3 linked regions of the Macaca fascicularis genome follow. The main gene of each other region encodes a partner of the protein of the gene in region 3 in a complex. Links are inferred from orthologs where the notes say so. Each region holds a gene or a part of one and is shown on either strand. Other genes may lie near its edges.

The links.
Region 1: the proteins of KEAP1 (region 3) and NFE2L2 are in contact, whole or in part, in a crystal structure (PDB 3WN7), measured with the Mus musculus proteins. The link is inferred for Macaca fascicularis from reciprocal best matches to the Homo sapiens genes KEAP1 and NFE2L2. Residues at the interface, in NP_001103775.1 of Mus musculus: Tyr334, Ser363, Gly364, Arg380, Asn382, Pro384, Asp385, Gly386, Asn387, Asn414, Arg415, Ser431, Gly433, Cys434, His436, Ile461, Phe478, Gly480, Arg483, Ser508, Gly509, Tyr525, Gln530, Ser555, Ala556, Tyr572, Phe577, Ser602, Gly603; in NP_035032.1 of Mus musculus: Leu19, Ile22, Leu23, Arg25, Gln26, Asp27, Ile28, Asp29, Leu30, Gly31, Val32, Val36, Phe37, Phe39.
Region 2: the proteins of KEAP1 (region 3) and FBXL17 are in contact, whole or in part, in a crystal structure (PDB 6W66), measured with the Homo sapiens proteins. The link is inferred for Macaca fascicularis from reciprocal best matches to the Homo sapiens genes KEAP1 and FBXL17. Residues at the interface, in NP_036421.2 of Homo sapiens: His59, Thr60, Ala63, Ile66, Met67, Glu69, Leu70, Gln75, Leu76, Gln82, Lys84, Ala90, His96, Val98, Ala101, Ser102, Ser103, Ser104, Pro105, Val106, Lys108, Ala109, Met110, Thr112, Asn113, Gly114, Val122, Ser124, Glu126, Gln163; in NP_001156787.2 of Homo sapiens: Asp395, Arg397, Arg421, Lys423, Asn447, Gln473, Tyr475, Met524, Arg548, Asn572, Cys574, Leu575, Trp577, Glu596, Tyr598, Val600, Ser601, Asp623, Trp626, Lys628, Tyr647, Met651, Arg652, Val676, Leu677, Asp679, Cys680, Thr683, Leu684, Arg686.

The regions. Positions count from the first base shown.
Region 1 is NC_088386.1:72,799,890-72,804,299, forward strand, and holds the start of NFE2L2 (nuclear factor erythroid 2-related factor 2), read right to left. Parts: upstream 2,810-4,410; 5' UTR 2,642-2,809; coding exon 2,597-2,641; exon of another isoform or gene 1,468-2,596; intron 1-1,467.
Region 2 is NC_088380.1:114,342,030-114,344,466, reverse strand, and holds part of FBXL17 (F-box/LRR-repeat protein 17), read left to right. Parts: intron 1-1,360; coding exon 1,361-1,501; 3' UTR 1,502-2,437. UniProt on the Homo sapiens protein: Substrate-recognition component of the SCF(FBXL17) E3 ubiquitin ligase complex, a key component of a quality control pathway required to ensure functional dimerization of BTB domain-containing proteins (dimerization quality control, DQC).
Region 3 is NC_088393.1:11,055,295-11,058,942, forward strand, and holds part of KEAP1 (kelch-like ECH-associated protein 1), read right to left. Parts: intron 3,063-3,648; 5' UTR 3,016-3,062; coding exon 2,377-3,015; intron 1-2,376. UniProt on the Homo sapiens protein: Substrate-specific adapter of a BCR (BTB-CUL3-RBX1) E3 ubiquitin ligase complex that regulates the response to oxidative stress by targeting NFE2L2/NRF2 for ubiquitination.

The sequences.
Region 1 (4,410 bases), on a different chromosome or scaffold from region 3:
GCTTTGTTAAACATGATTTATCCTCAATAGAAACAAATCTTAAGAAAAATGATGCATTTGGCTTTCAACTTTTCCTGGTAATCCTAAAGACAGAGTCGGTTTTCCCCCAACGTTGCTTATAACAACCCAGGGCAAGAAAGAAAGATTTCAAAATGGCCCAAGTTATTTTTAATGCGGAAAAGACTGATGTGAGTTATGCATTTATCCTCCTACATGCTGCTTCCACAACCTCTCAAGAGATTTTTCACATATCTAAAAAGTCAAGTTGGTCTTTGCTTAACATTCATTCAGGAGATGAGAGGCCTGTCCTATTTTTCTTTTGTTTGACTTAAACATAATCTCATCGGTCTATTTCAATATCAGCTTCATCCCTCATCCAGGAAAGTACTTTATCTCTCCAAGACACCCTTGAAAAGAGTAATGGATGTTCCTTCCACCTAATGGGGATACTGAATCTAAGGCTCTCCTTACTGCCCTGTTTATCAACACATCCTCTGCACAGAAGGTGAAAAACTACATCCTACTACCACTTCACACCTGGAGAGTTTTTTTGACAAAAGATCAAGAAAATGTTTGACTCAGTTCAAATCTTTATGGATGACAACAATCTAATATGAATCATAAACGAAATCAATTCTAAATTTTCTTGTTCTTTTTCTGTTTTCAAATATGCAAATCGATATCTGATTACAAAGGCAGAAAAGCAGTTATTTTTATCAAACGTAATTGAAAAATACACAATGCAGTACATATGTTTTATGCATTTTTGTATATGGAATGTTATATTACACAGCAAAGAAAGAAAAATTTAATAGAGGGTTGTAGACAATTTGGGAAATTAGAAAAACCAAAGTTCATTTTTATCATATATCCTTCGGTCAAACAAGCATTCCTATAGATAACTCTTGAACAGCAGCTATTAAATAAATCGTAAAGTACAATTTACTTCTTCCCTAGTTGGAACCAGAAGAATATAATCCCAATCAAGATTGGGGAAAAGTTCAAGACAACTTTAAAGGGGGAAAAAAAGGCACAATTAATACATTGTCTATAACTTAAAACTTTACAATAGATCTTTGGAATTAACCTAAGACTTTACATTTAACAGCATAAACGAATTTACCGTACATCAAGTACACGTTTCCTTGAATTCCAATTTTTTTCCTAAAATTCATTTACAAAAGAAATTAGAAATATAAATATCTACTTTTAAAGTTTCTACAAGGATGAGCTGAAACTTCTTTTCCCTTTTATAACAATTTACAGAAATTAGCATGTGTTTTGAAACGCAAGCGTTCCACTCTCTGCCCCTGCAAAAGAGGGTGGACATGTTAAGAAACTGAGGCAAATTCTCAACTGAAAAGGAAAAATATATAAAGTACTCAGGGAAGAAATAACAGCTGAAAGCAAAAAATTATTAACAAACTAAAAGCAATAGAAATTCTAATCTACACTCGCAACTCTTACCCTTGACAGCACAGAAGAGAATCTCCTGTCTTACACATTTTGGAATTGCAATTCTGAAACGCTAAATCCAAAGACAAAGCCGCTCTGGGGAAAATAACAATTGCGCAACAGATCAACAGCTCCAACTTGTCCCTTGGCCCTGGCGCGGCGAGGTTTGCACGCTATAAAGCAGGAAAGGGCCAACCGAGGGCTGCTGTGACGGCCAACAGACCGCTGTCACAGAGGCCAAAGCCACGCGCGCGGTGCGCGCCACCAGGGGGCACAGCGTCCGAACTAGACGCCCCGGGTGCCGCCGACTCCGGCCTCAGAGTCCGCTGCCCTCGCCCGCACTTTCCCGCGGCGTTGCGAGAGGCCAACTCCGGGTGCCCGGGCCCGAACCCCTCCCCGGCCGAGAAAGTGCGCGGGGCCCGGCTCAGCCGCCACACGTCGGGGCTTCTGGGCCCGCTGGGCACTTCAGGCGCTCCTCCCTCGTCCCGGGGTTGAGCTTTCAAGAAAGCTCAAGGCTGCCAGAGAGTGATCCGACAGATGGATGACTTCGCAAAGCAGCGCCCACAGACGGCCCAGCGGGGTGAGCGCGCCGCAGCCCGCACACACGGAGGTCTTGGGGCGCGGCGAAGGGGCTCTGGGTCCCAGCCCGAAGGCGACCTCAGTTCCCCCGAGAGTGGCCCCGTGACTAGGCACATTTTTGCCGGCTCTGAGGCGGGGGAGCCGCGCAGCCCCGGAAGGGCCGGGCCGCGCCGGCTCAGACGGCCAGCGTCCGCCCCCTCTTGCCCCGCTGCCCGCCGGGCCGCTCAAACTTAGGGGCTCCGAAGCCCAGCTCTGGGGACCGGGGACGCGGCTGGATTCGCCCACCACTGCCCACGCCCGCGGGCTCAGTCCCCAGACCTTCCCGCAACTTCCCACCCGTTCGCCCTCGGGCTCGTGGTCGGTCGGACCACCCGGCCGCGTCCCCGCTGCCCCTCCCCACCCTGCCCCAGCGCAAGCGCGGCGGCTCCAGCCAGCGCTGCGGTCCTGGCTCTGACCGGACGTGGAGGAAGCCGGCTGCGGCTATCCCTCCCGGGCCGCGGTTCCCTAGCTCCCCCGCCCCCGTCCCGGCACCACCGCAGGGCCCAGAGGGCCGAGGCAGCACCTGCTGGGACGGGAGTCCCGGCGGCGGCAGCTCCAACTCCATCATGCTGAGCTGGGGACCGTGTGTTGGGGCTCCCCGACGGCGGCCCCGTTCCGGCTGCCAAGGCGCGGCGCGGACAGGGCGGCTCTGGTGGCGGCAGCGGCGTCGGTGGCTCCTCCGGGCTCCCCGGCACTCGCTGATCGGCGACACGCCGGCGGGCCCCTGCCCCGCTCCGCCTCCCGCCCCAGAAGGGCGGGGCAAGAGCCTGGGCCCTTCCTTCCCCCGCCGGCCGCGCGGGCTGAGCTTCCGAAAATCCCCCACCCGCGCCTGGGCTGACGCAAGAAGCTCGCGGTCCGGGGGCGGGAAGGGACTGCCAGCTGGGGTCCCAGCAGGCGGGGGATCGAGAGGAGGCCACAGTTAGCGCCCCGGTGCCGGCGTTCAGTTGCCCTCCCCCGCAAATAAGGGCAGCGCTCTAGCCCGCGAGATAAAGAGTTATTTGCGAAGGTCGCTGGAGTTCGGACGCTTTGAAACAGTTTAAACAGTTGGAACAAACACACCCGGAGCCCCGGAAAGGCGTTGGTGTAGGAGCTGCGCCTCCCTGATTTGGAGTTACAGAACCTTGCCCTGCTTTTATCTCACTTTACCGCCCGAGAGTGGCGCCAGCCGGGGTGGGGGGCTAAAGGTTTGGACCCAGGCCGTGCCACTGCCAACTGCCCTCCCGCCCTTGCTCCCCTCCCGGGCTGGGGGCAGTGGGCCCTGCCCAGGGGAGATGTGGACAGCGCCGGGAGCTCGTGTTCGCAGTCACCCTGAACGCTCTCCTCTGAACTCCCACGTGTCTCCGTCAAGGGCAAACGGAGAAGTCCCTTTAGGTCGGAGAGTGGTCAGTATTGCCTACCCAGAGCTGGGAGAAAAACGGGAACCGCAAGAGAACTTCTTCCCACTAAAGCACAGCCACCACGCCACAGATGGCGCCCTTCAACAGTGTGTAATACCACAACATGCTATGATCTTTTAATCTTTACAAATTTCTTTTTCACGTACTCACAAAATAGTACAAATTTTAAAAAGTTACAAAAACGTTTGTATAGTATTGGCTCATTTTATAAAAACATGTGCCCAGAAAAAAATTGAAGGATAGTTACCAATATATTAAATGCTGTGGAATCAATGATTTTTATCTTTTTCCTTGCTACTTCCAAGTATGCTTTAAATCTGCAATGCGTATGTGTTATGTCTTACATTAAAAACAATTATTTAAACATTAATTATTGCCCAGAGAAAACTTCAAGTATTTGAAACCAGGAATATTGTGAACCTTATACGGGTTCAAAGAGGATAGATAAATGGTTTGGTTTTGTTTTTTTCTTTCCTCTTACGCATTTACAGTCTTTCTAACTCTTTAACAAGACTGGTTTTCAGTTTCTACCTTCCTGGAATTATTCAGAACCAGGTGAAGTAGATAATACTGGCAGTGGTTTTACTATTTCATTCAAAAACCACACACACACACACCCCTGACTATAGCGATCAACGCCCAAAAAACTGCAGAGCTTACTTTCTCTCTGTTGCATAATTTGACACTCCCAGGATTTATGTGTAAATTTGTATATTCAGATATTCCTTGAGATAAGTGAAGCCTACATTAATTACTTGTAATTGAAGCAAGCTTCTTCAATTCCTATTAATTCCTTTCAGCTGTTATGTGAAAACCCTGCAACATTATCTGCACAATGAAAACAAGTTAGGAGAAATTGTTTGCAAAGGACCTCACATGAAAGATGCAGAGACATAATAATAAAATAACATTTCTGAGTCCAAGAGAAAGACAAGAGTAA
Region 2 (2,437 bases), on a different chromosome or scaffold from region 3:
TTAGAGCACACATTTAAATTATATTAAATTAATCAGTTCATATTTCAACTCCAATATGTGTATCAGTTTTCCTTTTTTTATTCAAAATTATTTTATTAGCTTTTGAAAATAAAATGTTATAAATCATAGCTTTATCACAAAAAGAATTAGTTATATGGCTTGGTTAAATTTGACTTAAACACAAGCAGTTCTTAAATAGAGAAATGCTCTGGCAAAGATTTAGTATCATCAACACAATGTTGAAATATCAACTGTGTCAATAATGTAAAAAGATTAACAGATAACATAGTTTTCTAGATCACTTAGAAAACATCATGCTATTTCAGAAAAGTGCAGATAACTGAATTTCATGATCATCATACTTCTAAGCAGGCTTTCAAAGCAAACAGCAAGGGTTTGATGTTGTTTTAGGTTTTTCCTAGTGATCCTGATCTTTTCCAATAATGGACATCAAGAGGTATGCTCAAAAATGTGTATCACAAGTACCTTCTTTCAGACTAGCTTACTCAGTATAAATGAAATATTGATGTATTTGAAAATGCCCAAGTGTTCAATAAAGATTTTAAATAAAGCTACCTAAAAGTTGTGGTTCTTAGGTTAATCATTTATTTATCTAAAGGATGAAGAAAACTGTCTACTTCTGTGATATGCACTGCAATCAGCTTAAAAATAATTGACAAATTAATCCCTTCACAGCACAGCAATTGTAAAGGTGTTAGTTTTAATTAGGCCTGTCTGATTGCCTTGTCTAATCAAGAATCAAGGTGGTATCTTTGATGGTTAAGGTCTATTGGGGCCATCTCTGACCTGCCAGCCATGTATGTTTTAATTATTGATTCCTCACATTTCAGCCCTTTTCACAAAGGCACTTGAAGTTTGCAGTACCTTAACATTTAAAGGGAAGAAAAATAAACATCTTCCCCAACACTTCTGTCTGGAATCCTGTGTATCCTCTCCGGCTTTCCACAATTTTTGTCCTAAGAAGGCTGTTGGGTTGATGATGAAGTCAAGTGCACATTAGCTATCTTACTGCTTCTTCACCTCCCAAGCACTGGATTTTCAATGGACATGGTTAAGATCTTGACAAATCACAGTCATCTATGCTTCTAGAAAACACTTTTGATTTCTTGATATTATGTCTTTTTAAAATCCCTAAGGGCAGGTGTGTTACTGGGAGATCAGAAAGGTCAGATGAAAGGGGACACATATCTTCTCACAAAACCCTTCCTCACATCGCTAGGAGGAGCAAAGCCAGGGCTCCTTGTGCCACCGTGAGTCAGCCGCAGCACATCAGTGAGCATGGGCAGCGGCATGGTGTTGGTGGTCTCTGTGCGTGATGATGGCTCTTCTTTGTTTGCAGGTCAACGAAGTGACGGTGGAACAGCTGGTGCAGCAGTACCCCCACATCACCTTTAGCACCGTCCTGCAGGACTGCAAGAGGACCTTGGAGAGAGCCTATCAGATGGGCTGGACCCCCAACATGTCTGCCGCCTCCTCCTAACGCTCCTGCCCCGCCTAGTCCACTGGCATCATTCAGCAGAGCAAAGGAGAATTGTACATTTGGGGGGCTGATCTCTCGGAAGGGTTTTAACTGTCGCCTGTCTGTATGTGTTCAAGTATGTGTATTTGTGTCTTGTTTGCATACTGTATACCAGAAGTGCAGTTGTCATTTGTTCCCAAGTGAGCTGGCTTTTTTTCTTAGAAATTAAAGATTATGAAAGCCACAAACTTTTTAGTTTTTAACTTCAAAGGCTTCTTTCTCTTTAAAAAAAAAAAAAAAAGTTTTTTTAATATAGAGTCAAAAAATTAGATGTATTATTTTGAGCTTCTAATTGCTGCCACTTGGAGATGTCCAAATAAGAAGGCCTTCTTTTTACATGGGATGAATTGTGCACTTCTGCTGATGACGACTACAATAGAAGTGATGTTACACGTACAGGCACTTACATTCTCACATAGTCACACATGTGTGCACATCTACACCGGGGCTCTCATCTACTCCAGATCATTTCCTGACAGAGAAGCCTTCTTCCAGGCCACCGAGGTAGCATGTTATCCACTGTGGCACTGCCTAACTCCATGCATCCTCAGGTGGCCAACTTGCTATCTGGTAGGTGACTTGGGGACTAGAAAGAATAAAGCCTTTTCTAAATTTGTTATATGGAGGCAACAATCTGAACTCCCCTGGCCAGCTCACAAAAATTAATTATACATTATTCTACAAATGCATTCTGTTGAGCACTAAATATTTTAGTTGGTTTTACGTTAACATTGTGTTAGCTTTTATTTCCTGGATAGTAACTGGTCAGGATATATTTTAATGATATTTGAAACTAATCTTAGCATTGAAGCCACCAATGTAATTAATGGTGTGCAATTATTTTAAGAAGTACAGATCATTTCATTATTTTCTTAATTTTGGTAATTATTAAAGTGT
Region 3 (3,648 bases):
GTCTTACCCTGTTGCCCAAGCTGGAGTGCAGTGGTGAGATCTTGGTTCACTGCAACCTCCGCCTCCAGGGTTCAAGTGATTCTCCTGCCTCAGCCTCCCAAGTAGCTGAGATTACGGGGGTGTGCCTCCACAGTGGCTAATTTTTTTTGTATTTACTTTTAGTAGAGACGGGGTTTCACTATGTTGGCCAGGCTGGAATTTTTGTATTTAGTAGAGATGGGGTTTCTTCACGTTGGCCAGGCTGGTCTTGAACTCTTGAGTTTAGGTGATTCATCCATCTCAGCCTCCCTAAGTGCTGGGATTACAGGTGTGAGCCACCGGACCTGGACTGTTTTTGCTTTTGAGACAGGCTCTGTCACCTAGGCTGGAGTGCACGATCATAGCTCACTGCAGCCTTAAACTCCTGGGCTCAAACGATCTTCCCACCTCAGCTTCCTGAGTTGCTGGGGATACAGGTGTGTGCCACCATGCACAGCCAATTTTCATATTTTTATGGTAGAGACTGGGTTTCACCATATTGGCCAGGCTGGTCTAGAACTCCTGACCTCAAGTGGTCCACTCCCCTCACCTTCCAAAGTGCTGGAATTATAGGCATGAGCCACTGCACCCAGGGCTGGTCTTAAAATCTTTTTTTTTTGAGATGGAGTCTCGCTCTGTCGCCCAGGCTGGAGTGCAGTGGCGCAATCTCTGCTCACCGCAAGCTCCGCCTCCCAGGTTTACACCATTCTCCTGCCTCAGTCTCCCGAGTAGCTGGAGTAGCTGGGACTACAGGCGCCCACCACTACGCCCGGCTAATTTTTTGTTTTTTAGTAGAGGCGGGGCGTCACCAAAGTGCTGGGATTATAGGCATGAGCCACTGAGCCAGGGCTTTTTTTTTTTTTGAGACAGAGTCTCGCTCTGTCACCCAGGCTGGAGTGCAATGGTGCGATCTCGGCTCACTGCAACCTCCACCTCCCCGGTTCAAGCGATTCTCCTGTCTCAGCCTCTCAAGTAGCAGGGACTATGCCACCACATATGCCACCACATCTGGCTAGTTTTTTTTTTGTATTTTTAATAGAGATGGGATTTCACCACATTGGGTCAGGCTGGTCTCAAACTCCTGACCTCAGGTGATCCACCCGCCTCAGCCTTCCAAAGTGCTGGGATTACAGGCATGAGCCACTGGGCCCTGCCCTCTCTTATCAATTTCTATAGATAATTTCCTTCAGAGAAACGAAAATGAAACCAAAAATGGTAAGGACATTGCGTGGACCAAAGAAAACATGACTAAGGTTCAGGCTTACAGCTTGCAACCTGTAATGGGTGTTCAATAAACATTTGCTGACTGTCCGAAAGGCTGGGCTGCCCCAGGATTTGGCTGCTTTTCACTGCACTCTGTCCCCACCTTTGACCCCAGAGAAACTAGGGAGCCCAGAGACACATGAAGACCTCACCTTCCCCAGCTGTTCACCAGTGTCCCCACACGCGTAGACAAGGAACTCAGAACCCCAGTTGTTTTTTAATTTTTTTTTTTTTTTTTGAAACTGAGTCTCGCTCTGTCGCGCAGGCTGGAGTGAGTGCAGTGGCTTGATCTCGGCTCACTGCAACCTCCGCCTCTCGGGTTCAAGTGATTCTCCTGCCTCAGCCTCCTGAGCAGCTGGGACTACAGGCGCGCACCACCAGGCCTGGCGAATTTTTATATTTTTAGTAGAGATGGGTTTTCGCTATGTTGGCCAGGCTGGTCTTGAACTCCTTACCTCAGCTGATCCACCCACCTCAGCCTCCCAAAATGCTGGGATTACAGGCGTGAGCCACCACGGCTGGCCTCAGTTTTTTTTTTTTGTTTTTTTTTAGACTGAGTTTCGCTCTCGTTGCCCAGGCTGGAGTGCAATGGTGCGATCTTGGCTCACAGCAACCTCCGCCTCCTGGGTTCAAGTGATTCTCCTGCCTCAGCCTCCCGACTAGCTGACATTACAGGCATGCACCACCATACCCGGCTAATTTTTTTGTATTTGTAGTAGAGACGGGGTTTCTCCATGTTGGTCAGTCTGGTCTCAAACTCCCATTCTCAGGTGATCCACCCGCCTCGGCCTCCCAAAGTGCTGGGATTACAGGCTTGAGCCACCGCGCCCGGCCCCCAGTTGTTTTTTGTTTATTTGTTTGTTTGTTTAGAGACAGGGTCTCATTATGTTGCCCGGGTTGGTCTTGAACTTTTGGCTTCAAGCAATCCCCCCACCTAGGCCCCCCAAACTGTGGGGACTACACCACCGTGCCCAGCCCAGAACCTCCTTTTCCTCCAGGTTCCTGCCTTCACATCTCAAGGGGAGACAGTGATGAGCACTCATCCATCCCTGGTCCTTCTCCTGACACTGCCCCCAGCCCCACCTCCCCGCTCACCTCCCCGAAATGCATGTAGATATACTCCCGGGCACGCTGGTGCAACTCCACACAGCCAATCTGCTCGGCGAAGTTGGCGATGCCGATGGCATTGCTGGGGTCCAGCTGCTGCACTAGGAAGTCACTGCAGGCACGGACAACGCTGTCGATCTGGTACATGACAGCGCCGTTCATGACGTGAAGGACACACTTCTCGCCCATGGAGATGGAGGCCGTGTAGGCGAATTCGATGAGGCGTTCCATGACCTTGGGGTGGATACCCTCAATGGACACCACCTCCATGCCCTGCTCCCGCAGTCCATTGGTGAACATGGCCTTGAAGACGGGGCTGGATGAGGCTAGCACCACCTTGTGGGCCATGAACTGGGCGGCAGGCGCGTCCTGGTACTTGACCTGCAGTGTGACGTCACACAGCTGCTGGCTGAGCCGCAACTCGTTCATGATGCCGAACGCCTGTTTGGTATGATCCTCCAGGGTATAGCTGAAGGTGCGGTTGCCATGCTGGGAGGGCGTCACCTCCGCCTTGCACTCAGTGGAGGCATACATCACCGCGTCCCCTGACCCCTCAGGGCACTGTGACCGCAGGGGCAGGAATCGGCTGCAGGCCCCAGCCCTGCTAGGCTTGGGATCTGGCTGCATGGGGTTCCAGAAGATAAGCAACACCACCACCTCTGGCACTCAGGGGCCTGGAGGGGAGAGAGCACAGGGCAGGGGGCACGGGTTGGGGCTGGGCCAGCACCTGCAGGGTCTCCTTTTGTAAGATAAAGCAATTCCTAGGTCAGTTTTCCTGCAGAGTAGGTGAAGCAGAGTCCATTTGCAAATTTGCAAACATCCCCCTGACCTGACCAGCCCAAGAGCCCATCTTAAAACATAGATGAGGTCATGTCTCTCCCCTGCTCTGGATCCTCCAATGCCTCCCACAGTACCTAGTAAAACTGAACTCCTCAACAGCCTGCAAAGCCCTACGCAATTAGCCCCTGCCACCTCTTCCCTTTGATCACTCTGTTTCAGTAATCTGGTGGCCTTTCCCTTTCTAGAGCATGTCGGGCTCATTCCTTCATTCGCCTCACCATTTGTTGGGCACCTACTGTATGCCAGGCACTGATCTGGGTGCTGAAGACACAGCAGTGAGCAAAACACACAAAAATCCTACCTGCTGGAGCTGACACCTGTGGGGAGGAACAATCATAAACTAAAATAAGCAAGACCTGGAAAATCAGCTTCATGAAGAAAATTACAACAGCATTGTGACAATGTGAGAATCAGGTACAG